Anolis sagrei: one gene and its partners. The protein of the gene in region 1 interacts with the protein of each later gene in a pairwise test. Links are inferred from orthologs where the notes say so. Each region holds a gene or a part of one and is shown in the gene's direction. Other genes may lie near its edges. The genes, in order: UBASH3B, DOC2A and FAM168A.

The links.
Region 2: the proteins of UBASH3B (region 1) and DOC2A interact in binary tests that used the Homo sapiens proteins (3 or more experiments, as listed by UniProt). The link is inferred for Anolis sagrei from reciprocal best matches to the Homo sapiens genes UBASH3B and DOC2A.
Region 3: the proteins of UBASH3B (region 1) and FAM168A interact in binary tests that used the Homo sapiens proteins (3 or more experiments, as listed by UniProt). The two-hybrid records come from large-scale screens. The link is inferred for Anolis sagrei from reciprocal best matches to the Homo sapiens genes UBASH3B and FAM168A.

What each region holds. Positions count from the first base shown.
Region 1 is NC_090027.1:35,711,147-35,722,203, reverse strand, and holds the start of UBASH3B (ubiquitin-associated and SH3 domain-containing protein B), read left to right. Parts: upstream 1-5,659; 5' UTR 5,660-5,933; coding exon 5,934-6,079; intron 6,080-11,057. UniProt on the Homo sapiens protein: Interferes with CBL-mediated down-regulation and degradation of receptor-type tyrosine kinases. Promotes accumulation of activated target receptors, such as T-cell receptors and EGFR, on the cell surface.
Region 2 is NC_090026.1:16,953,233-16,964,617, forward strand, and holds the start of DOC2A (double C2-like domain-containing protein alpha), read left to right. Parts: upstream 1-6,314; 5' UTR 6,315-6,420; coding exon 6,421-6,765; intron 6,766-11,385. UniProt on the Homo sapiens protein: Calcium sensor which most probably regulates fusion of vesicles with membranes. Binds calcium and phospholipids. May be involved in calcium dependent neurotransmitter release through the interaction with UNC13A.
Region 3 is NC_090023.1:5,979,731-5,990,715, forward strand, and holds the start of FAM168A (protein FAM168A), read left to right. Parts: upstream 1-6,316; 5' UTR 6,317-6,472; intron 6,473-10,985.

The sequences.
Region 1 (11,057 bases):
CACATTTGAATTGATGATGCCAGTTCTTGACTACTTCTTATGATGGGGAATCATCACCATAAACCTCGTTCATCTCATCGAACGTCCCCTTTGGTGTGCAGCCTTTAAAGTCAAGGAACTTGAGGACTGCTCTGTATTCCACTGGGTTTATTCTCAAACCTCACACCACTTCAGCACCTGCAAAATCAAGACCGTTATCAGTTCTGAGTTGTAAATTGGCACGTAACCTATAGAGACTTATAGCATTACACATGTGCTCTTTCAGCATCCTGTAATGCAGTGGTTGTCAACCTTCCTAATGCCGCGACCCCTCAATAGAGTTCTTCATGTTGTGGTGACCCTCAACCATAACATTATTTTTATTACTGCTTCATTACTGTTATTTTGCTACTGTTATGAAGCATCATGTAAATATCTGCTATTCAGGAAGTATTTTCATTCACTGGATCAAATTTTGCACAAATATCCCCCAAGATGCCCAAATTTGAATATTGGTGGGGTTGGGGAGGTTGATTTAGTTATTTGGGAGCTTTAGTTGTTGGGATTTATAGTTCACCTACAATCAAAGAGCATTTTGAAATCCATCAATGATGGAATTGAACCAAACTTGGCACACAGAACTCCCATGACCATCAGAAAATACTGGGTTTAGTGGGCACTGACTTTGAGTTTTGGAGTTATAGTTCACCTACATCCAGAGAGCACTGTGGACTCAAACAATGGTGGATCTGGACCAAACTTGGCACAAATACTCAATATGCCCAAATGTGAACACTGGTGGAGTTTGGGGAAAATAGACCTTGAAATTTGGGAGTTGTAGTTGCTGGGATTTATAGTTCACCTACAATCAAAAAGCATTTTGAAATCCATCAATGATGGAATTGAACCAAACTTGGCACACAGAACTCCCATGACCAACAGAAAATATTGGGTTTGGTGGGCACTGACCTTGAGTTTTGAAGTTATAGTTTACCTACATCCAGAGAGCACTGTGGACTCAAACAATTTATTTATTTATTATTTATTTATTTATTAGATGCACTTATTGACCGCCATTCTCAGCCCTTACGGGCGACTCATGGCGGTGTACAGTACACATAAAAAGACAGTTACAGAGGCCAGTATCAACAACATATGACTATACAACAATGGTGGATCTGGACCAAACTTGGCATGAATACTCAATATGCCCAATTGTGAACACTGGTGGAGTTTGGGGAAATAGACCTTGAAATTTTGAAGTTGTAGTTGCTGGGATTTATACTTCACCTACACTAAAAGAGCATTCTGACCTCCACCAATAGAATTGGGCCAAACTACCCACACAGAACCCCCATGATCAACAGAAAATACTGTATTTTCTGATGGTCTTTGGAGACCTCTCTGACACCCCCTCGCGACCCCCTCCCCAGGGGTCCCAACCTCCAGGTTGAGAAAGCTGCTGTAATAAATAGAAACGGGCCAGGGGAAATCTTTAATGGATGCCTCCAGCTCTCCCAGTTTGTCCCAGTTAATCCTCTGTCCTCCCACACTTTCACCTACTTTTAAAATGCACCACTATTGTTTATCAGAGGGAATACCTCTGTAGGAATCTCAAGGTTCTCCAGTGAAACTAAAAGTTGGCCATAGAGTTGAACTGGAAGAGATTCCTTAGTTAAAGAGGAATCATAATGCTGTAACTGTGCAGTGTGGAATGGCCACAGACTGGATCCAGGCTCCCTCAAAAGAGAAACCCTTTCAATGATCCAGAGTATAATAGGCTAGTTGAGAAAACAGTGGGCTCTTGTTCTTTGGGGGTTTTAAAAAGAGAGGTTAGGTGGCCACAGCTTGGGGCTGCTTTAGCAATGGATTCTTGCACTACTGGTTGGACTAGATTGCAGTCCTCTCAATCCCGAAGTCCATGCTGTAGGACCTTTTAGTAAACATACATGTGTCCTTTGCTAACAGCAGCCTTGAAGGCATGGAGTTGCAACCAGTGAATGTAATAATTTCAGCTCTGCATCTCTGCATTTGTGATGAATGGAGTGAGGTCTATATACATACATGAACGCAGAAGACTATGACTCTGGAGACCAGAGTTCAAATTCCATGGATCTTGGGCAAGCCTCCACGAAAGGCAAAGTTAACCCACTTCCAAACAAATCTTACCAATAAAACTCCATGGTAGGTTCACCTTAGAGATGTCAACAGCGTGAAGGAATACAACTATCCAATGGCAGCAGATGGAGACACTGGAACAAGAATTATATCAGTTGAATGGATCAAATCTGCTAGGCTTTTTTCATACTACACAATTATGGCATTTTGATACTGCTTTAACTGCATTGCACTGGCTTCATTCAACGGATAACTAGAGTGAGGGACATCATGTATATCTAGGTAAGGTAGTCCCCTGACATTAAGTCCAGTCATGTCTGACTCTGGGGTGTGGTGCTCATCTCCATTTCTAAGCCGAAGAGCCAGCGTTGTCCGTAGACACCTCCAAGGTCATGTGGCCGGCATGACTGCATGGAACGCTGTTACCTTCCCGCCGGAGCGATACCTATTGATCTACTCACATTTGCATGTTTTCGAACTGCTAGGTTGGCAGAAGCTAGGGCTGACAGCGGAAGCTCACGCCGCTCCCCGGAATTGAACCTGCGACCTTTCGATCAACAAGCTCAGCAGCTCAGTGCTTTAACCCACTGCGCCACCGGGGGCTCCTGTATATCTATATAAATAAAAATGTAATGTTTGTTTGTGGGATTAACATAACTCAAAAACCACTGGTCGAATTGCTGCCAAATTTGACCACAAGACACCTACTAACCCTAGGAGTGATCATCACTCAAAAAATTGATTTTGTCATTTGGGAGTTGTAGTTGCTGGGATTTATAGTTCACCTAGAATCAAAGAGCATTCTGAACTCCATCAATGAGTGGATTGGATGAGGAGGGTTGTATTTTGCTGCCAGCTGGGAACACCTTCAGCCAAAGATGAATTATTATTGTTGTTGTTTTTACTATTGTTATTCAGGAGGAGGTAGAGGGTGCCTGACCTGGGTTGGATGAGGTGGGATGTGTTTGTTGCCAGCTGGGAACACCTTCAGCCAAAAATGAATTATTTTTGTTGTTACTGCTATTCAAGAGGAAGGCAGCGGATGCCTGACCTGGGCTGGATGAGGTGGGGTACCTTTTGCTGCCAGCTGGGAACACCTTCAGCCAAAAATGAATTATTTTTGTTGTTACTGTTATTCAAGAGGGGTCAGCGGATGCCTGACCTGGGCTGGATGAGGTGGGGCACCTTTTGCTGCCAGCTGGGAACACCTTCAGCCAAAGATGAATTATTATCATTATTATTGTTGTTGTTGTTAGTATTGTTATTCAGGGGGGAGTGAGAGGTGCCTGACCTGGGTTGGATGAGGAGGGATGTGTTTTGCTGCAAGCTGGGAACACCTTCAGCCAAAGATGAATTATTATTACTACTATTACTATTATTATCCAGGAAGAGGGGGATGGAGGGTGCCTGTATTGGGCTGGATGAGGTGGGGTGCATTTTGCTGCCAGCTGAGAACACCTTCAGCCAAAGAAGATGAACTATTATTATTATTATTATTATTATTATCCAGGAGAGAGTTGGAAAATGCCTGACCTGTGTTGGATGAGGTGGGATGTGTTTTGCTGCCAGCTGAGAACACCTTCAGCTAATGAATTATTATTATTATTATTATTATTATTATTATTATTATTATTATTACTATTACTATCCAGGAAGAGGGGGATGGAGGGTGCCTGGATTGGGCTGGATGCGGTGGGGCACATTTTGCTGCCAGCTGGGAACACCTTCAGCCATAGATTATGAACTATTATTATTATTATTATCATCATCATCATCATCCAGGAGAGAGTTGGAAGATGCCTGACCTGGGTTGGATGAGGTGGGATGTGTTTTGCTGCCAGCTGAGAACACCTTCAGCTAATTATGAATTATTATTATTATTACTATTGCTATTATTATCCAGGAAGAGGAGTATGGAGGATGTCTGGATTGGGCTGAATGAGGTGGGGCACATTTTGCTACCAGCTGGGAACACCTTCAGCCATAGATTATGAACTATTATTATTATTATTATCATCATCATCATCCAGGAGAGAGGTGGAAGATGCCTCACTTGGGTTGGATGAGGTGGGGAACATTTTGCTGCCAGCTGGGAACACCTTCAGCCAGAGATGATGAATTATTATTATTATTATTATTATTATTATTATCCAGGAGAGATGTGGAAGATGCCTGACTTGGGTTAGATGAAGTGGGATGTGTTTTGCTGCCAGCTGAAAACACCTTCAGCTAATGATGAATTATTATTATTATTATTATTATTATTATTACTATTACTATTGCTATTATTATCCAGGAAGAGGGGAATGGAGGGTGCCTGACTTGGGTTGGATGAGGTGGGGTGCATTTTGCTGCCAGCTGGGAACACCTTCAGCCAGAGATGATAAATTATCATCATCATCATCATCATCCAGGAGAGAGTTGGAAGATGCCTGACTTGGGTTGGATGAGGTGGGATGTGTTTTGCTACCAGCTGAGAACATCTTCAGCTAATGATGAATTATTATTATTATTACTATTGCTATTATTATCCAGGAAGAGGGGGATGGAGGGTGCCTGGATTGGGCTGGATGAGGTGGGGTGCATTTAACTGCCAGGTGAGAACACCTTCAGCCAGAGATGATGAACTATTATTATTATTCACACCTAGCTGCAGCAGGGAAGAGCTCTTTGCCCCACCCCAGCCATTCCACAGATATATAAACCCATTGTCCTAATTCCAACAGACCTCACTACCTATGAGGATGCTTGCCATAGATGCAGGCGAAACGTCAGGAGAGAATGCCTCTAGACCATGGCCATATAGCCCGAAAAAACCCACAAGAGCTTATTATTATTATTATTATTATTATCATCATCATCATCATCATCATCCAGGAGAGAGTTGGAAGATGCCTGACCTGGGTTGGATGAGGTGGGATGTGTTTTGCTGCCAGCTGAGAACACCTTCAGCGAATGATGAATTATTATTATTATTACTATTGCTATTATTATCCAGGAAGAGGAGTATGGAGGATGTCTGGATTGGGCTGGATGAGGTGGGGCACATTTTGCTGCCAGCTGGTAACACCTTCAGCCATAGATTATGAACTATTATTATTATTATTATTATTATTATTATCATCATCATCATCATCATCCAGGAGAGAGGTGGAAGATGCCTGACTTGGGTTGGATGAGGTGGGGAACATTTTGCTGCCAGCTGGGAACACCTTCAGCCAGAAATGATGAACTATTTATTATTATTATTATTATTATTATTATTATTATTATTATTATTATTATCCAGGAGAGAGAGAGGTGGAAGATTCCTGACTTTGGTTGGATGGGGTAGGATGTGTTTTGCTACCAGCTGAGAACATCTTCAGCTAATGATGAATTATTATTATTACTATTGCTATTATTATCCAGGAAGAAAGGGATGGAGGGTGCCTGGATTGGGCTGGATGAGGTGGGGCGCATTTTGCTGCCAGTTGGGAACACCTTCAGCCAAAGCCAAGCTTGGAGAGAAAGGAGGGAGGAGAGGAGAAGGCGGAGAAAGCAGGAGGAGGAGGAGGAGAAGGAGGAGGAGTGCCTTTGGCAGCAAGCTGGTCCCCTCCTTCCCCAGGAAGCCGCTTCTTGCATCAGTGCGCCCTCGCTGCCTCCCAGTTGCCTTCCTCCCGCCTCCAGAGAGAGAGACAGAGAGAGAGAGAGAGAAGGGGAATTGCGCCCTTGGAGAAGCAGGGAAAGAGGAGGAAGAGGAGGCGGCGCTCTGAGCCTTGCAATGGGCTCCCTGTCCGGATGATCGTGTGTGGGGCTGTGGAGCCGGACCCACGCCTGGGCCCCTGACCCCAGCTATGGCTGCTGCAGCGGCTGCCACCTCCCGAGCGGACCTCTACAGCCAAGTCACCCCTCGGAGGACCCGCCAGCCCCGGCCGGGCACCATCAAGCACGGCTCCTCGCTGGACATCCTCCTCTCCATGGGCTTCCCCAAAACCAGAGCGTAAGTGGGGCTCAGGCCGAGGGGGACATGCTGACGTGTGCCTCGGGGTCTCTCTCTGTGGGGTGACTTCTCTCTCCCGGTGCCTGCTTTCCAAAAGAGAGGATGCAGAAAGAGGATGCGCTCGCCTCCGCGCCTTCCTTCACCCACGGGCGATGTCTGCCTCCCTCGGGGGTCCGGGTGTGTGTGTCCGTGGGCCTGGGGCTGGGCTAGAGATGCTGTGTTGCGATGGCGGGGAGAGAGAGGCAGCTCTGGATGGAGGAATGTCCCCATCATCCGCCTTGGCACGCAGCGGGAGCGCGCGGCTGGGCTGACGTCTTCCCTGCCATTCATTGGGGGCTCATCCGGGATAGGTTTGGGGTCCAGGAAGTCCAAAAGTAGGGCTGGGTTGTTGCTTTCCCACACAACACAGGGCAACCCTTGCCTCTTGAGTCTGGGCCTCGCCATCCAGAGCCTTGGAGAGGCAAAGATCCTTGGAGAGGCTGTGCGTTGGGCATTTGGAGCTTGTGAGAGGTCTGTGGCCACTTCACCCCAAAGCAGACTGTCCCCAAAGCCTTAGGGCGGATGGGAAGAAGGAAAGTGACACTGAGAGAGAGGGGAGACCCTCTGTGTAAGAATGGGAAGCTTTGAATAGCTGTCCTCCTGCTTCTTGACCAGAGCCAGGCATCCCTTGAAATAAGGATCACTTGGGGTCAAGGCAGGCAGTCCAGCAGCTCCAGAATACATTGTGGAAGGCTTTCATGGCTGGCATCACTTTGTTGTGAGTTTTCTGGGCTGTCTGGCCATTGTGTCTAATTCTGGGCACTACAATTGAAGAGAGATATTGACAAGCTGGAATGTGTCCAGAGGAGGGCGACTAAAATGATCAAGGGTCTGGAGAACAAGCCCTATGAGGAGCAATATATTGTCGTAGGCTTTCATGGCCGGAATCACTGGGTTGTTGTAGGTTTTTTCAGGCTATAGCCCGAAAAAACCTACAACAACCCTATGAGGAACAGCTTAAAAAGGTGCATGTTTAGCCTGAAGAAGAGGAGGCTGAGAGGAGTCATGATGAGGGTCATGTATAAATATGTGAGAGGAAGTCATAGGGCGGGGGGAGCGAATTTGGATGCGGAACAATGGCTTCAAACTACAAGGAAGGAGATTCCATCTGAACATTAGGAAGGACTTCCTGATTGTGAGAACTGTTCAGCAGTGAAACTCTTTGCCCCGGAGTGTGGTAGAGGCTCCTTCTTTGGAAGCTTTTAAACAGAGGCTGGATGGCCATCTGTTGGGGGTGCTTTGAATGCAATTTTCCTGCTTCTTGACAGAATGGGGTTGGACTGGATGGCCCATGAGGTCTCTTCCAACTCTAGGATTCTATGTTCCAGAAGCATTCTCCCCTGATGTTTCACCCATATCTATGGCAGGCACCCTCAGAGGTTGTGAGATCCCAGCAGCTAAGACTTCCTGCTCCATGTCTTTTGCATGGACCAGATCTCCCTTGTGGTCTCTTCCAACCCTAGAGTTGGAAGATACCACATGGGGCATCCGTTCTGAAGTTGCTGTGAGTTTTCCAGGCTATCTGGCTATGTTCCAGAAGCATTCTCTCCTGATGTTTCACCCACATCTATGGCAGGCATCATCAGAGGTTGTGAAATCCCAGCAACAAAGCCTTCTTGCTCCATGTCTTGCATGGACCAGATGGCCCTTGTGGTCTCTTCCAACTCTAGAGTTGGAAGATACCACATGGGGCATCCATTCTAGAACTGCTGTGAGTTTTCTGGGCTCTCTGGCCATGTTCCAGAAGCATTCTCTCTTGATGTTTTGCCCACATTTATGGCAGGCATCCTCAGAGGTTGTGTGGTCTGTTGTCAACTGGGATTGGCAGACTTGAGAGCAGATATTGTCCCAACTTTACTGGGATAATCCTTGGGACTGAGCCGCCAGGGATCTTTGCCATGCAAAACATGTGCTCCGTCAATGACTCCCTCCAAACACAGCCCCAGACCATGGGTGTGGCATGTGTGTACACGCCTTTGCATCACCTATGTCGTTATGGCAACCCCATGAATTTTCATAGAGTTTTCTTAAGCAAGGAATATTGAGAGGTGGCTAAGTCATTACTATTCCTCTGAAATGTAGCATTCATTGACTGTCTCTCATTCAGGTTCTAACTTTGTCTTCCCAACAGTGCCAATGGTATTGCTTATATTATTATTATTATTATTATTATTATTATTATTATTTGATACATAACAAGATTCGTATACAGCAAACAAGATCACTGTGCTGGCTTTTGTATTCGCTCACATGTTGGACACTTTGCAAGTGTTTAGGACTGTGTGATGTATTGGTGAATAATGTGTGCAGATCCAAGTAGGGTGGCCCTTTGCAGCTGACAGATGATAATTTTGTCAGTGCCTATTGTTTTTAAGTGCAGGCCAAGGTTTTTAGGCACTGCACCCAGTGTGCCGATTACCACTGGAACTACCTTGGCTGGCTTGTGCCAGAGTTTTCTTCTTCTCCTTCTTCTCCTTCTTCTTCTTATTGTTTTTAAGTGCAGGCCAAGGTCTTTAGGCACTCCACCCAGTGTGCCAATCACCACTGGGATCACCTTGACTTGCTGGTACCATAGTCGTCGTCGTCGTCTTCTTCTTCTTATTATTATTATTATTATTTGAAACACAACAAGATGAGTCCACAGCAGACAAGATCACTATGCTGGCTGTTGTTTTGGATCACACGTCAGACACTTCCCAAGTGTATAGGACTGTGTGATATATCAGTGAATAATGCGTGACGATTCCAGTAAGGTGGCCTTCTGCAGCTGGCAGGTGGTAATTTTGTCAGCGCCGATTGTGTTTAAGTGCAGGCTAAGGTCTTTAGGCACTGCACCCAGTGTGCCAATCACCACTGGGACCATCTTTACTGGCTTGTGCCAGTTATTATTATGCCAGCCTCTGCCCCGGAGCATGGTGGAGGCTCCTTCTTTGGAAGCTTTTGAACAGAGACTGGATGGCCATCTGTCAGGGGTGATTTGAATACAATATTCCTGCTTCTTGGCAGGGGGTTGGACTGGATGGCCCATGAGGTCTCTTCCAACTCTTTGATTCTATGATTCTGTGATGATGATGACGACGATGATGACGATGATGATGATGATGATGATGATTATTATTATTATTATTATGCCCCTCTTTTTTTCCCCACAAGGAGACTCAAAATAAATCCTCAAAACTGGCTGCACTCCAGTGTCCTAACACCAAAATATGCCAACCTCTGAACTGTTTGCTTCACTTACCTGGGTATCAAAGAAAGCTTCTCCTATTTATTTTCTGTGAGCCAAACAGCTGCTAAGGATGCAGGGGTGCAGAGGTTTTTAAATAAAGAGTAACCTCAGTCGGCTTGGGTTTTTATGTTTGGCATCTGAACTGTCGAATAAAAATATGACTTCATGGAAGTCCTCTGCTTCTATTGCATCTGGCAGCTCAGAGGGGAATTGGTCAGGCTTGGCATTTCCTTTCTATATACCATATGTCATTATCATGTGCCCAATGGGACTCTGTGTTTGTATGTTCAAGTTGCCTGTTGACTTACGATGCCCTGAGGCATTGCATAGGGTCTTCTTAGGCAAGGGTAGTTTTGCTTGTTCCTCCACTGGTGAAATAGCCTCAGGATAAAGACAGCCAACAAATACCAGATGCTGTAGGGTATATTTCAGAGGAAGGAACTTGCAAAACCACTTCTGAGCATTCCTGGCTTAAGAAAACCCTAAAATCCATGGGGTCACAGACAACTCAGAGGCACACCCATCTGGTATTCATTGGGAGGGGGTCTCTCATCCAAGCATTAACCAGGACGGCATCTGATATCGTTAGGGAAGTGTTTCTCAACCTGGGGGTCGGGATCCCTGGGTGGGGGGCTGCAAGGGTTGTCAGAGGGGACACCCCCTTGAGAATCAGAAAATACAGCATTTTCTGTTGGTTATGGGGAAGTTTAACCCAGTTCTATCATTAGTAGGGTTCAGAATGCTCTTTGATTGTAGGTGAATTATAACTCCCAACAGTTACAACTCCCAAATGTCAAGGTCTGTTTCCCCCAAATTCCACCAGTGTTCACATGTAACCAATCTAACCATATTGAGTATTAATGCAAAGTTTAATCCAGATGCATCATTGTTTGAGTCCACAGTGCTGTCTGGATGTAGGTGAACTACAACTCCAAAACCAAAGGACACTGCCCACCAAACCCTTCCAGTATTTTCTATTGGTCATGTGAGTTCTGTGTGCCAAGTTTGGTTCAGTTCCATTGTTGGTGGAGTTCCGAATGCTCTTTGATTGTAGGTGAACTATAAATCCCAGCAACTACAACTCCCAAATGTCAAGTCTGTTTTCCACAAACTCCACCAGTGTTCACATTTGGGCATATTGAGTATTCATGCCAAGTTTGGTCCAGATCCATCATTGTTTGAGTCCAGAGTGCTCTCTGGATGTAGGTGAACTACAACTCCATCATTGGTGGAGTTCAGAATGCTCATGGATTGTAGCTGAACTATAAATCCCAGCAATTACAACTCCCAAATGACAAAATCACACACACATACCCAATCCCACCAGTATTAAAATTTGAGCGTATTTGGTATCTGTGCCAAATTTGGTCCAGTGAATAAAAATAGATCCTGCATATCAGATATTTACATTACGATTCGTAACAGTAGCAAAATTACAGTTATGAAGTAGCAATGAAAATAATGTTATGTTTGGGGGTCACCACAACATGAGGAACTGTATTAAGGGGTCATAGCATTAGGAAGGTTGAGAACCACTGCTTTAGGATATTTTGACCCCTATATTAATATTTACCGAAATACCAAATTTGGAGGTTATATTCCTAACTGTTTTTTTTTAATGGAATTCATTACACCAGGGAGAAAAAGTCCTGGATGTTTTTGGCCTATTGAAGTGGCCGTAATTTGATGTTTTGGGGCAATTTGGGTATT
Region 2 (11,385 bases), on another chromosome or scaffold:
TTAGTCTGGTCTGTTGTTCTATTTGGCTTGCTATACGATGATGAGAAAAGGGGAGCTGTTTTCATTTTCCTCCTTATTATTAATTTCTCATGTTTCAGAAAGATGAATGCCCAACATCCTCTTAAACAGGAGCTGGGGAAAACTTTTTCTTGGTCTCCAACTTCTAGAATCCCCCACAAAAATGAACTTTTCCAATCTTGTATTAATGCATTTATTATTTATTGTTATTGCATCTTGTTCTGCCTTTGCACCGAGAAAGAAAGAAAGAAAGAAAGAAAGAAGGCACATAAAAGAGCTAACAAGAACTAAAAACAAATTGGAGTGGGAAATATAATAAAAATTAGTGCAGTAATGTAAAGAAAAATGAGGTGGTGCGAGTGCTTTACTAAAAAACAATGTCATGCTGATAGTTCATAACATAGGGATAGGAATCATACAGCCCTAGAGATGTTGCTGGATTGGAATTCCCAGCCACCTTTGGTTTGTCTTGGTGGAAGCTTATTTATTTATTGTGTCAGAAGCAAATTGAGGGTACAATTGTAATGTATTTAAAAACACAAAGTTAAAAACTTGGCATTATACTATATTTTATTTATTTCATATCAAAAGCATTGCCTAAATTAGTATTAAACTGATTTTAAAAATAGAAGGAGCACAAGTGGTGAAATATCTTTTGACCTAAAATGGGCAACAGCAACTGCATTGTCGGTAGCCTCCAACAATTCTTCCTCTGTACATGAGGCAGGACTTTGCAGACAAGCATATAGATGCAGAGTCATCTGTTCTGCTCCACAATTGCACAAGGTGGAGGATTCTTTTAGTGCCGTTTTGCCATGTTGTCTTTTTTTTTTTTTTTTGCCCACTCCACTTCTGAGTCTGTTCAGGAACTTCCAAGTTGCCCATTTTTTGTTTGCCCCCGAAGGAAGACCCTTGTGGGGGGCCATCCAGTTGGGACTTCCTGGTTTGGCTGCCCAGAGGGATACTCTTGCTGTTGCTGGGGGAATGTTAAGAGGAGTGTTGGTTCTCATGACGCTTTCCCTTGATTTGAGTCTATTGGAAGGAGGTTGATAGCCATGCAGTGGATGGCTTTCACAGGGTTTGACCTTATTTTTCTCACAGTTAGCAGCAATTTCCCATCGCACATCTGGGGGCAATATCTGCTAGCTTGTAGAGTTTATCAACAGGTGTAGGTTTAAGACATCCTGTGATTATTCTGCATGTTTCATTCAATGCTATGTTCACCTGCTTCGCATGGGGCAGACTTGTGCCAAACAGGGCAGGCATACTCGGCAGTTGAGTAAGACAAGGCCAGGACTGGTGTTCTTATTAATTTTAGGTCTGCTCCCCATGTAGCTGGCCGCTTATAGTGTCTCTGGTGTTGCTATAAGGAATTCCTCCAATGCAGGGCTCAGGCTGCATTGTAGTAAGGGGTCTGTGGTTTGCTCTCCTCCACACTCGCATATCGTGGACCACAATTTGTGGCCCCCTTTCTTAAGGTTGGCTCTGCATCTCGTGGTGCCAGAGCCCAGTCTATTCAGCACCTACCATGTTGCCCAAGTCTTCTGTGTGCCCAGGAGGGAGTCTCTCATTCCATATCAGAAGTGACTTGCAGCATGCTGGAAGCTGTAGTCTTAACAGTATTCATGTTTCTCTTCCACCAGTTCTATTGTCTAAAGAAGCAAGGAAGCCTTCTCCCATATGCTCCACCATTTAACAGAGAGACATATGCAACCAAGCAAGATCATGGTGTGGTCAAAATGGCTAAATACAACTTTTCTTAACTTGGGGGTCAGGACCCCTGGGGGGGGGGTCACAAGAGGGTGTCAGAGGGGTTGCAAAAGACTATCAGGAAACACAGTATCTTTTGTTGGTCATGGGGGTTCTGTGTGGGAAGTTTGGCCCAATTCTATCATTGGTGGGGTTCAGAATACTCTTTGATTTTAGGTGAACTATAAATCCCAGCAACTACAACTTCCAAATGCCAAGGTCTATTTTCCCCAAACTCCACATTTGGGCATATTGAGTATCTGTGCCAATGATGGTTCAGATCCACCGTTGTTTGAGTATACAGTGTTCTATGGATGTAGGTGAACTACAACTCCCAAACTCAAGGTCAATGCCCACCAAACCCTTCCAGTTTTTTTTCTGTAGGTCATGGGAGTTCTGTGTGCCAACTTTGGTTCAATTCCACGTTGGTGGAGTTCAGAATGCTCTTTGATTGTAGTTTAACTATAAATCCCAGCAACTATGACTCCCAAATGACAAAATCAATCCTTCCTCAACCCAACAGTATTCAAATTTGGGCATATTGGGTATTTGTGCCAAATTTGGTCTAGTGATTGAAAATCCATCCTGCATATCAGATATTTACATTATGATTTGTAACAGTAGTAAAATTACAGTTATAAAGTAGCAATGAAAATAATGTTATGGTTGGAGGCCACCACAACATGAGGAACTGTATTAAGGGGTAATGGCATTAGAAAGATTGAGAACCACTGGGCTAAAGTTAGCAATGAAGAAGCACACAAACCAGAATAGGATGCAGCAGTTTGCTTTTGCCTCACTTGGGAAGGACAAGATGTTGCCTCCCTTCTCCTCTGCTCCTTGCTGAGGCTGGATTCTCAAGGGATGAAGATCTTGGGGTGCATCTACACCAGGCATGGGCAAGCTTAGGCCCTCCAGGTGTTTTGGACTCCAACTCCCACCATTCCTAACAGCCTCAGGCCCTTTCCTTTTCCCCCTCAGCCGCTTAAGCGGCTGAGGGGGAAAAGGAAGGGGCCTGAGGCTGTTAGGAATGGTGAGAGTTGGAGTCCAAAACACCTGGAGGGCCAAAGTTTGCCCTTGCCTGATCCATACCAAATTAAGTTTGACACCATAATTGCCATGGCTTGATGGGAATTATAGTTCAGTGAAGCACCAGCACCCACCAGCAGACAAGACCTTATAAAACTACAACTCTCAGGATTCCATCACATTGAGCCATCACAGATAAAGTGGTATTAAACTGCAACTACTCTACAGTGTAGGTGCATCCTTAGGTTCGTAGCAAGATTAAAGCCAACTCCTGCTCAGAAAGCAAGTACAAACCACTGAGTGTATCAGTCAGCCCCACTTGCCAAGAAACTTCAGATTTCTTGGCTCCGGCTCGCCTTGCCTGATCCAAACCCAGGTTTATCTATTTGACTAACGCCGAAAATGTCATTCAACAGCATATGCGGCATCACAAATATTTCCTGGTCTGGAATAGGTCCAGGACAAAGTTGCCATAGTAACAGTGGGGAGGGAGATGGGGAAGCGCATGGAAGAAGGGGAAGAAAAAAACTTCAAGCCCCAAACTCAAGGGATAATATTTTGCCAGGCAACTTCAAACATGTTGTCTGTTTTTGGAGACTGGGCTTGAATCTCAAGAAAAGGGAAGTTCAGATCTTCTGGCCTTGGGAGACCCCAAAGGCTGGAGGCGCATTGAGTTAGGATTATAGGACTTCTTAGTCAAAGCAGTATCTCCGTGCTTAAAATCATATATTGCCTTCGATAACTTCCTTATGGATGGGGCTCCGTTAATTTCCCTTGGTGTGTGTTTACACTGTGAAATTAATGCAGTTTGACAGTACTTTAGCTACCATGGCTCAATGCTATGAAATCACGAGAGTTGTAATTTTACAAGGTCTTTAGCCTTCTCTGCCCAACAGTGCTATTGCCTCACCAAACTCGGAATTTCAGAGCACTGAGTCATGGCATTTAAAGTGGTGTTAAACTGCATTAATTTTACTATGATTCAAACCCTGCAATGTGTGAAATCCCTCCTGATTTAGTTCAGACGCTTCGCCTTTTTGCATGTTGAAAAGCCTTCCAGAAGAGCAAATGATGTGTTGTCAAAGGCTTTCATGGCTGGAATCACTGGGTTGCTGTGAGTTTTCCGGGCCATGTTCCAGGAGCATCCTCTCCTGATGTTTCACCCACATCTATGGCAGGCATCCTCGGAGGTTGTGAGGCCTGTTGGAAACTAGGCAAGTGGGGTTTATATTTCTGTGGAATGTCCAGGGTGGGAGAAAGAACTCTTGTCTGTTGGAGACAAGTGTGAATGTTGCAATTGAATGTTTACTGCTGTTATGATGGAATTCGCCCTGAGTCCCCTCGGGGAGATAGGGCAGAATACAAGTAAAGTTTTATTATTATACTAGCCATCCCCTGCCATGCGTTGCTGTGTATATGTGTTTTGTGTGTGTATATTTGTGTATATGTGTGTTTATATACATCTATAAATATAGGTTGTGTGGTTTTGCACATGTGTTGTAATTTAAATTTTGTTTTTTTGACTTTTAAAGTCTCTTCTGCTGTGTTTTTCAGTGTTTTTATGAATGCTGGTCACGCGTTGGCCTGATAAGTAGGTTGTGTCCAAATTTGGTGTCAATTCATCCAGTGGTTTTTGAGTTATGTTAATCCCGCAAATGAACATTACATTTTTATTTATATAGATTATTTATTATTATTCATTTGCCACCTTGATTAGCATTTAATAGCCTTGAAGCTTCAAAGCAGACTAAACAGAGAAACCACTGAAATCCACAAGGATGTGGACAATTCCAACAGAATGGAGGAAACCATGAAAATGAAAAAAAAAATCTGGCTAACAGTATTAAAATACTTTAAAATCAGGACAGTAAATAAAGAGCAACACTCAGAAAACAGGGGAATTCCAGACAGGAAACAATCAGGGCCAGCTGACACCTCCCAACAAAGGTTCTCCCCAGGCAGCAACCAGCCAGGCTTTGAAGCTACAAGGCCATTAAATACTAAGGTGGCCAATTGCAACAATCACACTTGCCTCAAGCAGATAAGAGGGGTTTTTTCTCCCACCCTGGACATTCCACAGATATATAAACCTCACTTGCCTAGTTTCTAACAGACCTCACAACCTCTAATGGCCTTGCAGTTTCAAAGCCTGGCTGGCTGCTGCCTGGAGGATCCTTTGTTGGGAGGTGTTATCTAGCCCTGATTGATTCTTCTCTGGAATGCCCCTGCTTTTTGAGTGTTGCTTGTATTTACTGCTTGTATTTACCAGATAGCCAGATTTTGTTCATTTCATGGTTTTCTCCTTTCTGTTCAAATTGTCCACATACTTGTGGATTTCAATTGCTTTTTTCTGTAGTCTGCTTTGAAGTTGCAGGGCCATTTAATGCCAATTGCAACATTCACACTTGCCTAAAACAGAGAAGAGTTCTTTCTCCCACCCTGGACATTATTCACAGATACAGGCCCGTAGCCAGGATTTTGATTCGGGGGGTGGGGGGGCTGAGTTTGATTCGGGGGGGGGGGCTGAGTCTGAGTGAAAGAGGGTCTACCCTAGCAAACCTTTTGTTACCCCAATACCCCCATGCATATGAGATATACTGAGCATGGTGATCAGAGCATGATATGAATAAACATAACAGTTTAAATAATGTACCAGTAAGGCCTTTTCGCAGACCACCATGGGAATTTCGGAGGGGGGGCTGAAGCCCCCAAAGCCCCCCCCCCCCCCGGCTACATGCCTGCACAGATATATAAACCCCACTTGCCTTGTTTCCGACAGACCTCACAACCTCTGAGGATTCCTGCCATAGATGTGGGTGAAATGTCAGGAGAGAATGCTTCTGGAACATGACCATAAAGTGCAGAAAACTCACAGCAACTCAGAGAAAATGATGTTTCTGAGCAAAGTTGAGTCCCGTCAAATAACCTTTTCCTATAAAAAGAGTAAATGATTTCTCAGACTTATTTTTTCCATCATCTGCATTACCGTCCTGCTTCTGTGTCCACCTCTAGACATTTTCCCTGCCATCACCATTTCTACAAATACAGTCAGCCTCCTTTACTTTTTCCTATACAGTCTCAAGGGTTCACTCCTTATACCTTTTCACCCAGCTTTCAAGCAACTGCAGTTTTCTTTTTCCTGTTCATCCATCCATCCATCTACAGGAAGAGAGAGACTCCAATCTAATCCGCATCCGATCTTTCTCTTCTGTGCAATTCATTCCATTTGTGGCTATTTCGGACTGCATCTTAATGCAGTTTCTTTCTCTCTTCCCTCTCCCTTCCCACTTTTGCATGCAAAAAAATCGCCACCCACCCGAAGCCCAAGGGATAAGGCAGGATCAGTCAAAATGCATAATCTGGTCCTCTCTCATCCTTCCCTTGGGTCCATTGAAAGAAAGAGCTTGTGCTGTTTGACCCAGCCTTTTGCTACATATATTTAATCTAACATTGCAGATCAAGATTCCTGTTCAGTCCCCTTTATATTGTTTTAAATCTACCCACAGCCTTGATTATCAGTTGGGATCATCAGCTTTTCCCCCCTCCTTCTCTACAGCTCAAATGGGCATCACAAACAGGCGCATCGCATAGGAACTGTGCCACAAATGTACACTTCCAGGATCGATGTCACAGTTGTACAGAGCCATCCTTTATCAGCTGTGGTCTAATCTAATCTATGTATTGCAAATCAGATCTCAGCACCCTCCACCACCAGCACCCCCCTTTCTCTTCTCTATTGTCTCCACCTCCCTGCCTGCAACCCCCTTCTTCTCTGGCACTCTCTCTTTCTCCCTCCCTCTTTCTCTCTCTTTCTCTCTTTTTTCCTCCCATCCCTCCTTCCCTCCCTCCCTCCTTCTCGCCTGCTCTATCTCTCGAAGTCTTTGGGATCCCCCCAATCCACAGTCTCTGTCATTCGCTGTTGCACCTTACCCCTCCCTGCTGTTACCTGTTGACACGACCAGCACCCAGGTAGGAGTTGGGGGTCCCAAGGGGGGATGAGGAGGGAAGGTGGAGTCAGCACTTTGTGGAGACAGGGATTTCTATGGAGAGTTTGGGGGGAAACAAGTTGTCTGGAGGGGAAAGAGGAAAGGATCAGAGTTTCTTTGCAAAAGAGGGGGACTTGGAAGAGTTGTTTCAGAGGTTTCGTCCTATATGTCTGTGGGCTTAAGGTGTTTCAGAGTATTGTGGCAATTTGGGAGAGATTGCTTGGGGAGGATGCGAATGGTAGGTTTTTTGGATATAGTTGTGGGGATGTGTGGGGCTAATAAGTCACAGAGTGGGGCTAATAGGAGTAAAGGGAGGGTGACAGTAGGTAAAGGTGTGCTTCTTCATGTATGGGGCAGATTTGGTTGATCTACCCAAAGTGGGATGGGAATAATGGGTTTTTGGATGTCGTCGTGGGGATGTGTGGGGCTAATAAGTCACAGAGTGGGGCTAATAGGAGTAAAGGTGGGAAGACAGTAGGTAAAGGTGTGCTTTTTCATATATATGGGGCAGATTTGGTTGATCTACCCAAAGTGGGATGGGAATGGTGGGTTTTTTGATGTAGTTGTGAGGATGTGTGGGGCTAATAAGTCACAGAGAGGGGCTAATAGGAGTAAAGATGGGGTGACAATAGATAAAAGTGTGCCTCTTCATATGTGGGGCAGATTTGGTTGATCCACCCGAAGTGGAATGGGAATGGTGGGTTTTTGGATGTAGTTGTGGGGATGTGTGGGGCTAATAAATCACAGAGTGGGGCGAATAGGAGTAAAGGTGGGGTGACAGTAGGTAAAGGCATGCTTCTTCAAATATGGAGCTTTGGGGCAGATTTGGTCAATGCACCCAAAGTGAGATGGAAATGGTGGGTTTTTGGGTGCAGTTGTGGGGATATGTGGGGATAATAAGTAACAGAGTGGAGCTAATCGGAGTAAAGATAGGGTGACAGTAGGTAAAGGTGTGCTTCTTCATATATGGGGCAGATTTGGTTGATCCATCCAAAATGAGGTGGGAATGGTGGGCTTTTGGATGTAGTTGTGGGGATATGTGGGGCTAGTAAGTCACAAAGTGGGGCTAATAGGAGTAAAGGTGGGGTGACAGTAGGTAAAGGTGTGCTTCTTCATATATGGGGCAGATTTGGTCGATGCACCCAAAGTTGGATGAGAATGGTGGGTTTTTGGGTGTAGTTGTGGGGATATGTGACGATAATAAGTAACAGAGTGAGGCTAATAGGCGTAAAGGTGGGGCGATAGTAGGTAAAGGTGTGCTTCTTCATGTATGGGGCACATTTGGTTGATCCACCCAAAGTATCAGAGAAGGAGGCGATGTGATGTGTTTTGTATATTTGGATATCCTGGGGGAGAAGTTGGCATGGAGAAGAAACAGGTGCCAGGGAGTTAGAGGAGATCTGCAACATGCATCCATACATCTAAGTTCATTGCGGGGCAAGGAATAGAAAACAGCAATAGTCGGAAGGGATGGATTGATCAAAAATTGATTGATTGAAGCAATATCCTTTCAAAAGTCAAATTGCCATTCGCTCTCAATCTCATTCGGGGAGAGGGGCGGATGTGGTGGGACTCAATTGAGCAAAGTCGTTCTTTTAATAGTGGTTAATATTCCATGGTAATCAATTAAAAATAAGTGTCTCATGAATGCTGATGTCCAGATAAACTGTTGTATCAAAAGGCTTTTCAGCTCCCAGCAATGAATTTCCTTATTGAGTTGTAATTGTCTCTCTGCACCCCCAGCAAGCAGAAAAGGAAGGAAACAAGAGGGAGAGAGGGAGGGAGGGAGAACAGCACAGAAAATGCATGCCGCTTGTTCTGCCTATATATCTACTAGAGTTGGGAATTTTACTGTTTGGGTTTTTGCCAGATTGCATTGATTTGCGGATGTTTTAACAAATGCTGCGTTGACTGTTAATTTCAAACGTGTTGTGTTGTGGTTGTTTAATTTAACTCAATTGAAGTACAACTGTGTACACATTTTACTCAAGAAGTAAACTCCAATGAGTGCAGACAGTTCAAAATAGTTCCGATTTTAGTGGTGTTAAAGTGGTGTCAAACTGCATGTGTACAGATGCACCCATAGAGACAGCCAGTGTATTTTGGGGTTAGATTACTACATGCCCCCCCCCCAGTGGTGCAGTGGGTTAAACTGCTGAACTTGCTGACTGAAAAATTGACAATTTGAGTCTGGGGAGTGGGGTGAGCTCCTGTTGTTAGCCCCAGCTTCTGCCAACCCAGCAGTTCAAAAACATGCAAATGTGACATCAATAGACACTGCTTCGGCGGAAGGTAACATCACTCCATGCAGTCATGCCAACCATATGACTTTGGAGGTGTCTATGGATAATGCCGGCTCTTTGGCTAAGAAATGGAGATGAGCACCACTCTCCAGAGTTGGACACGACTAGACTTAATGTCAAGGGGAAACCTTGTATGTCACTGTTTATTGCTTGTTTTTGTTTATGTGATTTATATGATTTGTATTGTATTGATTGTTTTATTTGATGTTTTTTTATTGATGTATTGTGGGCTTGGCCTCATGTAAGGCGCACCGAGTCCCTTGGGGAGATGGTAGCAAGGTACAAATAAAGTTATTATTATTATTATTATTATTATTATTATTATTATTTACCTTTATGTTTTATGGAGAAAGGACCTTGCATTATTTATTTTTCTCATAATGGCACAACTTTTAGCTTGTGGCAAATTCATGGAATAGGACACATTTTTAAAACAGTGGGCAGCAGGAAGCCAAATTCCACATATCGTTTCTGCAGATGTGATTAGACGTACACTGATGGAAGAGCAATCCCACCACTAATTGACACTATTCAATCTGAGAACAGCAGAAAGTCTCCTCACTATGACAAATACTGAAGCAGTCCAAAACTGGTCACCTGTGAACACCTGTGGCATGCGAAGGGAAGGTTCACGTCTATGAACAAAAATAGTACGCATGGCTGCGCAGGACACAGTAACCAAACAATCCTTTCTGTATGAGGAAATCAAAATGCATTTAGGGGATTTTTCTTTTGGGGTGGAGGGGAAAGATGACAGAGTGGGGAATATGACAACAGGTTGTGCACAATGTGGAGGAAGTGCGGAGAGATCTGATGCCCAGCTGCTTCCTCCCAGATCTTTAAAACTGATGTGTATGAGATTCCAGACAGCAAAAAGTATCTGAACTCTACATGCCATTAATGGATTGAATTCAGCGACTTGAAGATAGAGACAGCAGTCATGGGCTTAGATATCTTTAAAAGGAGATTAAACCATTTAGGGCACTTAGATCTATAATCCCTCCAAGAATGGACTCCAGCAGCAAGTGCTGATAGAAATAGAGCCGAAATGGAGTTACTAAGACAGAATAGGGACGTATCAGTGTGAGGCAGGGAACGTCCAGGTCCGGAAATCTTTTGGAACCACTCAGTGGGATTCAGCGAGCTCAGTGGATTGTTGAATGCCGGTTTAAGTCTTAGGGTTTGTGTATGGAATGGAGTATCCAGGAAAAGGACTGAAACTGGACTTGGAAATAGAGCACTTCCACTAGGACCGTGGTTCTCAACCTTCCTAATGCCACGGCCCCTTAATACAGTTCCTCATGTTGTGGTAACCCCCAACCATACAATTATTGTCATTGCTACTTCACAACTGTAATGTTGCTACTGTTATTAATCGTAATGTAAATATCTGATATGCAGGATGTATCTTCATTCACTGGACCAAATTTGGCACAAATACCCAATATGCACAAATTTGAATACTATTGGGGTTGGGGAAGATTGATTTTGTCATTTGGGAGTTGCAGTTGCTGGGATTTATAGTTCACCTACAATCAAAGAGCATTTTAAACTCCACCAACAATGGAACTGAACCAATCTTGGCAGACAGAACTCCCATGACCAACAGAAAATGCTGGAAGGGTTTGGTGGGCACTGACCTTGAGTTTTGGAGTTGTAGCTCATCAACATCCAGAGAGCACTGTGGACTCAAACAATGATGGATCTGGACCAAACTTGGCATGGATATTCCATATGCTCAAATATGAACACTGGTGGGGTTTAGGGAAAATAGACCTTAACATTTGGGAGTTGTAGTTTCTGGGATTTATAATTCACCATCAATTAAAGAGCATTCTGAACTCCACCAACAATGGAATTGAACCAAACTTGGCACACAGAGACTAACAGAAAATATTGGAGGGGTTTGGGATGAATTGACAGGGATTTAAGGGAGATGTAGTTCATGTACATCCAGAGAGCACAGTGAATCCAAACAACTATGACAAAGGGATTCCTAAGACCATCAGAACTATGTGTTTTCTGATGGTCTTGGTGACCCCACTGAAACCCCCTATGACCCTCCAAGGGGTTCCGACCCCCAGGTTGAGAAACACTGTCTTAGGGTTTGTTTACGGAATGGAGTATCCAGGGAAAGGATTGAAACTGAACTTGGAAATGAAGCACTTCCACTAGAGGTGGGATATGACAACATTATGTTGCTAGTTTCACTTTGTTGATGACTTTTACTTGTTGCAACACCATACTAACTTCCTTTCATATTGACAAGGAATTTCACTTCCATTGACTATTCCCTGCTA
Region 3 (10,985 bases), on another chromosome or scaffold:
CATCAAGGGTAGTAGTTGCTTTACAATGAATTTACTGCCCCACTGACCTGGGATTCAATAGCAATGAGGTTCTGGAAGATGTAGTCCAAAGAACTCTCATCGCCAAGGGTTGATATTTGTTGTGGTCTTTTCGTCTTTAAAGGATGGCAATTTTCAGGTATTATCACAGCATCCTGTGCCAAAGTTGTTGCTCAAAGTATATAGTTCAGGCATGGGCCAACTTGGGCCCTCCAGGTGTTTTGGACTTCAACTCCCACCATTCCTAACAGCCGGTAGGTGGGAGTTGAAGTCCGAAACACCTGGAGGGCCCAAGTTGGCCCATGCCTGAACTAGTTGGTGTCTTCTCTCCCTTTGTACCAAAATTGAACTCGGCTTCTTCTTGTTTTCTTTAGTGCAGAATGAATCCTTAAGGGCTGTGCTTAAATATTTCATGCCTGTTGCTTTATTAAAAATTCACAAGAAGGAGGGTTTGTTGTGGTTGCTCAGTGTCTACAAGCTGCAGGATGGTGCGCTTTACTGATTGCGGTTTGTGTCCAGTGCTTTTGCTTAAAGGTTGGAAGGAGTGAGGCTGTGGAGCTGGTTTGTTTGGAGTAAACATTTGAATGGGGATTGCCAATCAAGCCATTTCTGATTTAGAGCAACGCTTTAGAGTAGTAGTTCTCAACCTTCCTAATGCCATGACCACTTCATACAGTTCCTCATGTTGTTCCCCAACCATAAAATTATTTTCGTTGCTACTTCATAACTGTAATTTGGCTACTGTTATGAATCATCATGTAAATCGTCATGTAAATACTGTTATGAATCGTCATGTAAATACCTGATATGCAGGATATATTTTCATTCACTGGACTAAATTTGGCATAAATACACGATACACCCAAATTTGAATACAGTTGGGGTTGGGGGAGGGATTGATTTTGTCATTTGGGAGTTGTAGTAGCTGGGATTTATAGTTCACCTACAATCAAAGAGCATTCTGAACTCCACCAATGATAGAATTGAACTAAACTTGGCACACAGAACTCCCACAACCAACAGAAAATACTGGAAGGGTTTGGTGGGCACTGACCTTGAGTTCTGGAGTTGTAGTTCACCTACCTCCAGAGAGCACTGTGGACTCAAATACTGATGGATCTGGACCAAACTTCTCCTAAATACTCAATACATTCAAACGTGAACACTGGTGGAGTTTGGGGGAAATAGACCTTGACATTTGGGAGTTGTAGTTACTGGGATCTATAGATCACCTACAACCAAAGAGCATTCAGAACTCCACCAATGATAGAATTGAACCAAACTTGGCACACAGAACTCCCACGACACACAGTAAATACTGGAAAGGTTTGGTAGGCATTGACCTTGAGTTCTGGAGTTGTAGTTCACCTACCTCCAGAGAGCACTGTGGACTCCAACAATTATGGATCTGGACCAAACTTAGCATAAATACTCAAGACATTCAAACGTGAACACTGGTGGAGTTTGGGGGAAACAGACCTTGACATTTGGGAGTTGTTGTTGCTGGGATTTATAGTTCACCTACAATCAAAGACAATTCTGAACTCTACCAGTGATAGAATTGAACCTATCTTGGCACACAGAACTCCCACAACCAACAGAAAATACTGGAAGGGTTTGGTGGGCATTGACCTTGAGTTCTGGAGTTGTAGTTCACCTACATCCAGAGAGCACTGTGGACTCAAACAATGATGGATCTGGACCAAGCTTGGCACAAATACTCAATACACCCAATACACTGGTGGAGTTTGAGGAAAATAGACCTTGACATTTGGGAGTTGATCAAAGACCATTCTGAACTCCACCAACTTTTCTCAGCTCTTGTTCTTCTATAGATGGTTATGGAAAGGGCAAAGCACTATGATAGTATCAAGGGGGTGTTTCATGTCAGGAAGTGGTTACTGTATTTTCTCTAAACCACCTTTAATTCTTCTCTCACTTTCTTGATTTGTATTTATTTAGCAAATTTGCTCTTTTCCCAGCAAGTGTGTACACAGAGAAGGGGAGGAGGAGGAGTGAGGAGAGAATACTTCTGGAACATGGCCATAAACCCCGAAAAACCTACAACATCCAAGTGATTCCAGCCATGAAAGCCTTTGACAATACATTGATTTGACTCTTTTTGTTGTTGCTCTCTGCTGCTCCCTAGAGGAGGCATGAGGAATTACTACCTGGAGGAAAAGACTCCCTTCCTGTCTCTTTATGGAATTCCTCCGCATTGAGTTTGTGTATATATTATTAATAAGAATACCAATAACAATAACAACTAATTCAACATCCCCTGGCTGTATTATTATTAACAATGCAACAACAATACCAATAATAAATTAATTCAACATCCCCTGGCTGTATTATTATTATTATTATTATTATTAATGCAACAATAATGCCAATAATAATAATAATAAATTAATTCAGCATCCCCCAGCTGTATTATTATTATTAATGAAACAATAACACCAATAATAATAATTAATTCAACATCCCCTGGCTGTATTATTATTATTTTATTATTAATGCAATAATAATAATAATAATAATAATAATAATAAAAATTCAGCATCCCCTGGCTGTATTATTATCATTATTAATGCAACAATAATACAAATAATAATAATAATAAATTAATTCAACATCCCCTGGCTGTATTATTATTATTATTATTATTATTGCAACAATAATGCCAATAATAATAATAATAAATTAATTCAGCATCCCCCAGCTGTATTATTATTATTAATGAAACAATAATACAAATAATAATAATAAATTAATTCAACATCCTCTGGCTGTATTATTATTATTATTATTATTATTAATGAAACAATAATGCCAATAATAATAATAAATTAATTCAACCTACCCTGGCTGTATTATTATTATTATTATTATTATTATTAATTCAACAATAATACCAATAATAATAATAATAACAATAAATTAATTCAACATCTCCTGGCTGTTTTATTATTATTATTATTAATGCAACAATACTACTACGAATAATAATACATTAATTCAACATCTCCTGGTTGTATTATTATTATTAATGCAACAATAATACCAATAATAATAACAATAAATTAATTCAACATCTCCTGGCTGTATTATTATTATTAATGAAACAATAATACCAATAATAATTATAAAGTAATTCAACATCCCCTGGCTGTATTATTATTATTATTATTATTAACACAACAGTAATAACAATACAACAGCAACACTGAAATCCTGAAGGTGTCCCCATCTCTCTTTCTTTAAAATCCTAGAATGCTTTGCCTACTACATCTCCCAGCATGCACCTTGCTCCGCTCAACCCTTCTCCGTTCTCCATCCAGATCAGTGACTACGTCCCCCAAGATGCATTGCGCTCCTTTCAGCGCTAACTTGAAGCGCATCCAGAGCCGCGGAGCATACTGGGAGGTGAAGTCCAATTACTGGTTCGCCCTGGCGAAGGATGAAGGAAAGAGTGCGACTACGTCCCCCAAGATGCATTGCGCTCCTTTCTGCGCTTACTGAAGTGCAATCAGAGCCGCGGGGCATACTGGGAGCCGAAGTCCTGTCGCTGCTTCAGTCTTGGCGAGGATGAACTGAAGAGACAGATACAAGAGTGCGACTACGTCTCCCAGGATGCATTGCGCTCCTTTCTGCGCTTACTGAAGCGCATCCAGAGCCGCGGCGCATACTGGGAGCCGAAGTCCAAGTCGCTGCTTCGCCTTGACGTATAGAAGTGTGTGACTACGTCTCCCAAGATGCATTGCGCTGCTTTCAGCGCTTACTGAAGCGCATCCCGAGCCGCGGGACATACTGGGAGCTGAAGTCCAGTCGCTGCTTCTATCTTGGCGAGGATGAACTGAAGAGATACAACGGATTTGAACATGAGGAAGAACTTCCTGACTGTGAGAGCCGTTCAGCAGTGGAACTCTCTGCCCCGGAGTGTGGTGGAAGCTCCTTCTTTGGAGGCTTTTAAACAGAGGCTGGATGGCCATCTGTCGGGGGTGATTTGAATGCAATATTCCTGCTTCTTGGCAGAATGGGGTTGGACTGGATGGCCCAGGAGGTCTTTTCTAACTCTTTGATTCTATGAATGACTTGAAGAGGCGAATACAAGAGTACTACTACGTCTCCCAGGATGCATTGCGCTCCTTTCTGCGCTTACTGAAGTGCAATCTGAGCCGCGGGGCATACTGGGAGCCGAAGTTCAATCTCTACTTCTCTCTTAACAGTTCGCCCTGAGGAGAACTTCCTGACAGCGAGAGCCGTTCAGCAGTGGAACTCTCTGCCCCAGAGTGTGGTGGAGGCTCCTTCTTTGGAAGCTTTTAAGCAGAGGCTGGATGGCCATCTGTCAGGGGTGATTGGAATGCAACATTCCTGCTTCTTGGCAGAGGTCTCTTCCAACTCTTTGATTCTATGATTCTATGAATGACTTGAAGAGGCGAATAGAAGTGTGTGACTACGTCTCCCAAGATGCATTGCGCTCCTTTCTGCGCTTACTGAAGTGCAATCGGAGCCGCGGGGCATACTGGGAGCCGAAGTCCAGTCTCTACTTCTGTCTTAACAGTTCGCCCTGAGAATGACTTGAAGAGGCGGATACAAGAGTGCGACTACGTCTCCCAGGATGCATTGCGCTCCTTTCTGCACTTACTGAAGCGCCTCCAGAGCCGCGGGGCATACTGGGAGCCGAAGTCCAGTCTCTACTTCTGTCTTAACAGTTCGCCCTGAGGAGAATGACTTGAAGAGGCGGATACAAGAGTGCGACTACGTCTCCCAGGATGCATTGCGCTCCTTTCTGCACTTACTGAAGCGCCTCCAGAGCCGCGGGGCATACTGGGAGCCGAAGTCCAGTCTCTACTTCTGTCTTAACAGTTCGCCCTGAGGAGAATGACTTGAAGAGGCGGATACAAGAGTGCGACTACGTCTCCCAGGATGCATTGCGCTCCTTTCTGCACTTACTGAAGCGCCTCCAGAGCCGCGGGGCATACTGGGAGCCGAAGTCCAGTCTCTACTTCTGTCTTAACAGTTCGCCCTGAGGAGAATGACTTGAAGAGGCGGATACAAGAGTGCGACTACGTCTCCCAGGATGCATTGCGCTCCTTTCTGCACTTACTGAAGCGCCTCCAGAGCCGCGGGGCATACTGGGAGCCGAAGTCCAGTCTCTACTTCTGTCTTAACAGTTCGCCCTGAGGAGAATGACTTGAAGAGGCGGATACAAGAGTGCGACTACGTCTCCCAGGATACATTGCGCTCCTTTCTGCACTTACTGAAGCGCCTCCAGAGCCGCGGGGCATACTGGGAGCCGAAGTCCAGTCTCTACTTCTGTCTTAACAGTTCGCCCTGAGGAGAATGACTTGAAGAGGCGGATACAAAAGTGCGACTACGTCTCCCAGGATGCATTGCGCTCCTTTCTGCACTTACTGAAGCGCCTCCAGAGCCGCGGGGCATACTGGGAGCTGAAGTCAAGTCGCTGCTTCTATCTTGACCAGGATGAACTGAAGAGACGGATACAAGAGTGCGACTACGTCTCCCAAGATGCATTGCGCTCCTTTCTCTGCTTACTGAAGCGCATCTAGAGCCGCGGGACATACTGGGAGCCGAAGTCCAGTCTCTACTTCTGTTTTAACTTCCTAACTGTGAGAGCCGTTCAGCAGTGGAACTCTCTGCCCCGGAGTGTGGTGGAGGCTCCTTCTTTGGAAGCTTTTAAACAGAGGCTGGATGGCCATCTGTCAGGGGTGATTTGAATGCAACATTCCTGCTTCTTGGCAGAATGGGGTTGGACTGGATGGCCCATGAGGTCTCTTCCAACTCTTCGATTCTAGGATTCATTGAATGACTTGAAGAGGCGAATAGAAGTGTGTGACTACGTCTCCCAAGATGCATTGCGCTCTTTTCTGCCCTTACTGAAGTGCAATCAGAGCCGCGGGGCATACTGGGAGTTGAAGTCCTGTCGCTCTTTCTGACTGAACAGTTCGCCCTGGCGAGGATGACTTGAAGAGACGGATTCAAGAGTGTGACTACGTCTCCCAGGATGCATTGCGCTCCTTTCTGCGCTTACTGAAGTGCAATCGGAGCCGCGGGGCATACTGGGAGCTGAAGTCCAGTCGCTGCTTCTGTCTTGGCGAGGATGAACTGAAGAGACGGATACAAGAGTGCGACTACGTCTCCCAAGATGCATTGCGCTCCTTTCTGCGCTTACTGAAGTGCAATCAGAGCCGCGGGGCATACTGGGAGACGAAGTCCTTCCCTCAGCGGCTTCTATCCGAGTCCGCCCTTGCCCGCCCCTGGTGGCGAGTGTCGGGATCGGCGTCGGGAGCAGCAGCCCTCCTCCTCCTTCTCCTTCTTCCTCACAAAGCTCCTCCAGCTTTCGGCCTGCCCGCTTCCCCCGGTTCTCCCCGCTCGGCGCCGGCTCTCGAGGGAGGAAGGAGCCCAAGAAGGAAGGAAGGAAGGAAGGAAGGTGAGGAGGGAAGGGAGGGAGGAAGGAAGGGGCCTGCTCCCAGCCCGGAGGTGGGGGTCTCCCTGAGGGGAGGAAAAGGGCAGGCCTGCCTGGCTGTGCTGTGCGTGTGTTTCAAGGGGGATTGTGAGTGTGAGTGTGTGTGTATTTGGGGTGAGTGATGAGGGGCCTGGAAAGGAAGGGGTTTTGTGAAGGGCCAAGAGGGCCGTGTGTATCTTGGGGGGTCTGTGAGGGAGAGGATATATGTCTATCTGTCTTTCTCTTTAGCTCTCCATCTGTCTATCTATATCTATCTATCTATATCTCTATCTCTATCTTTATTTCTCCATCTGTCTGTCTCTATCTATCTTTCTTTCTTTCTTTCTTTCGTTCTATCTATCATCTCTCTCTCTATCATCTCTCTCTATCATCTCTATCTATCTATCTATCTATAATCTCTCTCTCTCTCTCTATCATCTATCTATCTATCTATCTATCTATCTATCTTTGTATCTATCTATCTTTGTTTCTTTCTTTCGTTCTATCTCTCTCTCTCTCTATCATCTCTCTCTATCATCTCTATCTATCTATCTATCTATAATCTCTCTCTCTCTCTATCACCTATCTATCTATCTATCTATCTTTGTATCTATCTATCTTTGTTTCTTTCTTTCGTTCTATCTATCTATCTTTGTTTCTTTCTTTCGTTCGTTCTATCTCTATCTATCTATCTATCATCTCTATCTATCTATCTATCTATCTGATCTATCTATAATCTCTATCTATCATCTATCTATCTGTCTGTCTGTCTGTCTATCTATCTATCTATCTATCTATCTTTGTATCTATCTATCTATCTTTGTATCTATCTATCTATCTTTGTATCTGTCTATCTTTGTATCTCTCTCTCTCTCTCTATCATTCTATCTATCTACCAAGCTTGAAAACTCTGTTTTGTCTGTTTGTTAAAAATTTGTTTAAAATGTAATACAATTGCCTGGTTAATACTGACACGATAAATAAATACATTTTATCTATCTATCTCTATCTATCTATCTATCTATCTATCTATATCTATCTATATCTATTTATCTAACTCTGTCTCCCCATCTGTCTCTTCCTCTCTCCCTCCCTCTCCCTATTTCTATCTATCTATCTATCTATCTATCTTCGTATCTATCTATCTATCTTTGTATCTATCTATCTTTGTATCTATCTATCTATCTTTGTATCTATCTATCTATCTTTGTATCTATCTATCTATCTATCTATCTATCTGTCATTCTATCTATCTACCAAGCTTGCAAACACTGTTTTGTCTGTTTGTTAAAAATTTGTTAAAAATGTAATTCAATTGTTTGGTTGATACTGACACAATAAGTAAATAAATAAATAAATACTATCTATCTATCTATCTATCTATCTATCTATCTATATCTATTTATCTATCTATCTCTATCTCCCCATATGTCTCTCTCCCTCTCTCTATCTCTCTGTCTGTCCCTATCTATCTATCTATCTATCTATCTCTATACCTATCTCTCTCTATATATATCTACCAATCTCTATCTCTATTTCTCTATCTATCTATCTCTCCATCTGTCACTCTCTCTATATTTGTCTGTCTATCTCTGTCTCTATCTCTCCTCTTCTCTATCTCTATATCTCTATCTATCTGTCTATCTCTGTCTATTTCTCTCTATCTATATCTATACCTATCTTTATCTCTCTATCTATCTATATCTACCAATCTCTATCTCTCCATCTGTCACTCTATATATCTATCTGTCTGTCTATCTATCTCTATCTGTCTCTATCGCTCCACCTCTCTATCTCTATATCTATCTATCCATCTTTCTATTTCTCTCTATATCTATACCTATCTCTATCTCTCCATCTCTCTATCTATCTATCTATCTATCTATCTATCTATCTATCTTTCTATCTATCTATCTATACCTGTCTCTTTCTTTCTATCTCCTCATCTGTCTCTCTCCCTCCCCCCCCTCTATCTGTCTCTATCTCTCTCTCTCTATCTGTTTCTATCTACCTATATCTATACCTATCTCTATCGCTCTATCTGTCTCTATCTATCTATCTCTATCTATTTCTATCTACCTATATCTGTACCTATCTCTATCTATCTGTCTCTATCTATCTCTCTCTCTCTCTCTATCTCTATCTCCCTATATCTGTACCTATCTCTATCTCTCTGTCTCTATCTATCTATCTATCTATCTATCTATCTATCTATCTATATGTCTGTCTATCTATTACTATCTACCTATATCTGTACCTATCTCTCTCTCTATCTGTCTCTATTTATCTATCTATCTATCTATCTATCTATCTATCTATTTCTATCTATACCTATCTCTCTCTATCCATCCCTATCTATCTATCTATCTATCTATCTCTTTCTATCTACCTATATCTGTACCTATCTCTAGTATCTATACCTATCTTGCCATTATTTATGTGTAAACCGCTTTGAGTCCCCCCAGGGGTGAGAAATGTGGTATATAAATACTGCTAATAAGTAAATAAATCATAATATATATCTCTATCTATCTATCTATCTATCTACTATATCTACCAATCTCTATCTGTATTTCTCTATCTCTTTCTATCTCTCCATATCTATCTCTCTGTCTATTTCTCTCTATCTATATCTATACCTATCTTTATCTCCCTATCCCTCCATCTCTCTCTTTATCACTATTTCTATCTCTATTTCTCCATCTCTCTCTTTCTCTATAGCTATCTATCTATTTCTGTCTCTGTCTGTATCTCTCTATCTATATCTATATCTATCTCTCTATCAATTTCTATCTGTCTGTCTATATCTACCAATTTCTATCTCTATTTCTCTATCTCTCCATCTGTCCCTCTCTATATAAATCTCTCTCTCTCTCTGTCTCTATCTCTGTCTCTATCTCTCCATCTCTCTCTCTCTCTCTCTGTCTGTTTCTCTCTATCTATATCTATACCTATCTTTATCTCTCTATCTCTCCATCTCTCTTTATCACTCTTTCTCTATCTCTCCATCTCACTCTCTGTCTCCTTCTCTCTATCTCTATCTCAGGGGTCCTCAAACTAAGGCCCAAGGGCCGAATATGGCCCTCCAAGGTCATTTACCCGGCCCTCACTCAGGGTCAACCTAAGTCTGAAACAACTTGAAAGCACACAACAACATCATCATCATCATCATCAACAACAACAACAATCCCATCTCATCAGCCAAAAGCAGGCCCACACATAGACACTGTATGTTGTTGTTCATTGGTTCAGTCGTTTCTGACTCTTTGTGACCTCATGGACCAGCCCATGCTAGAGCTCCCTGTCGGCCGTCACCACCCCCAGCTCCTTCAAGGTCAATCCAGTCACTTCAAGGATCCCATTGAAATACTAATAAGTTTATATTTGTTAAAATTATTCTTCATTTTAATTATTGTATTGTTTTAAAGTGTTTTCTGCACTACAAACAAGATATGTGCAGTGTGCATAAGAATTCATTCATGTTTTTTTTTCCAAATTATAATCTGGCCCTCCAACAGTTTGAGGGACTTTGACCTGGCCCTCCGTTTAAAAAGTTTGAGGACCCCTTCTCTATCTGTATTTATCTCTATCTATCTATCTATCTATCTATCGGGTTCTCTGGTTGTGCAGCAGGTTAAACTGCTGAGTTGCTGAACTTCTGAGCGAAAGATTGGCGGTTTGAATCTGGGGAGTGAGGTGAGCTCCTGCTGTTAGCCCCAGCTTCTGCCAACCTAGCAGTTCAAAATGTGGGTAGATCAATAGGTACTGTTTCAGCAGGAAGGTAAGGGCGCTCCTTGCAGTCATGCTGGCCACATGAGCTTGGAGGTGTCTATGGACAACACCGGATTAGAAATGGAGATGAGCAACACCCCCCAGAGTTGGACACTACTACATTTAATGTCAGGAGAAACAGTTACCTTTACCTATATCTCTTTGTCTATCTCTATATATCTATCTGTATATCTCTTTCTGTTGATAGATATCTATATCTATCTCTGTCTCTATATATCTATATCTGTATCTGTCTATCACTATCGCTGTCTCTATTCATCTGTCTATATCTATCTATATTTCTCCCTCTTTCTCTATATCTATGTCTGTCTAGCTATATCCATCTGTCTATATCTGTCTATCGCTGTCGTTATCCATCTGTCAATATATATCTATATCTATACCTATATATCTATATCTAAATCTATCGATCTATATATTTATCTATCTCTATCTGTATCCATATCTCTACAATCCCCAATCTAATCTAGTATAATCTCTCTCTACTTATCTCAGTCTAACTATCCATAAACTGTCCCTATCTATATAGATGTATCTATATAGATCTATATCTCTGTCTCTATATATGTGTTTGTGTATGTTGGGGGATTCGTAGACATGAGCCTGGAGCGTGAAAGGGATTGTGAGTTTGTATTTCTGTGTGTCTATAAGGAGGAACCTGTGTATTTGGGGTGGTAGTGGTAAATGTTTATCTTTTTAATGTAAT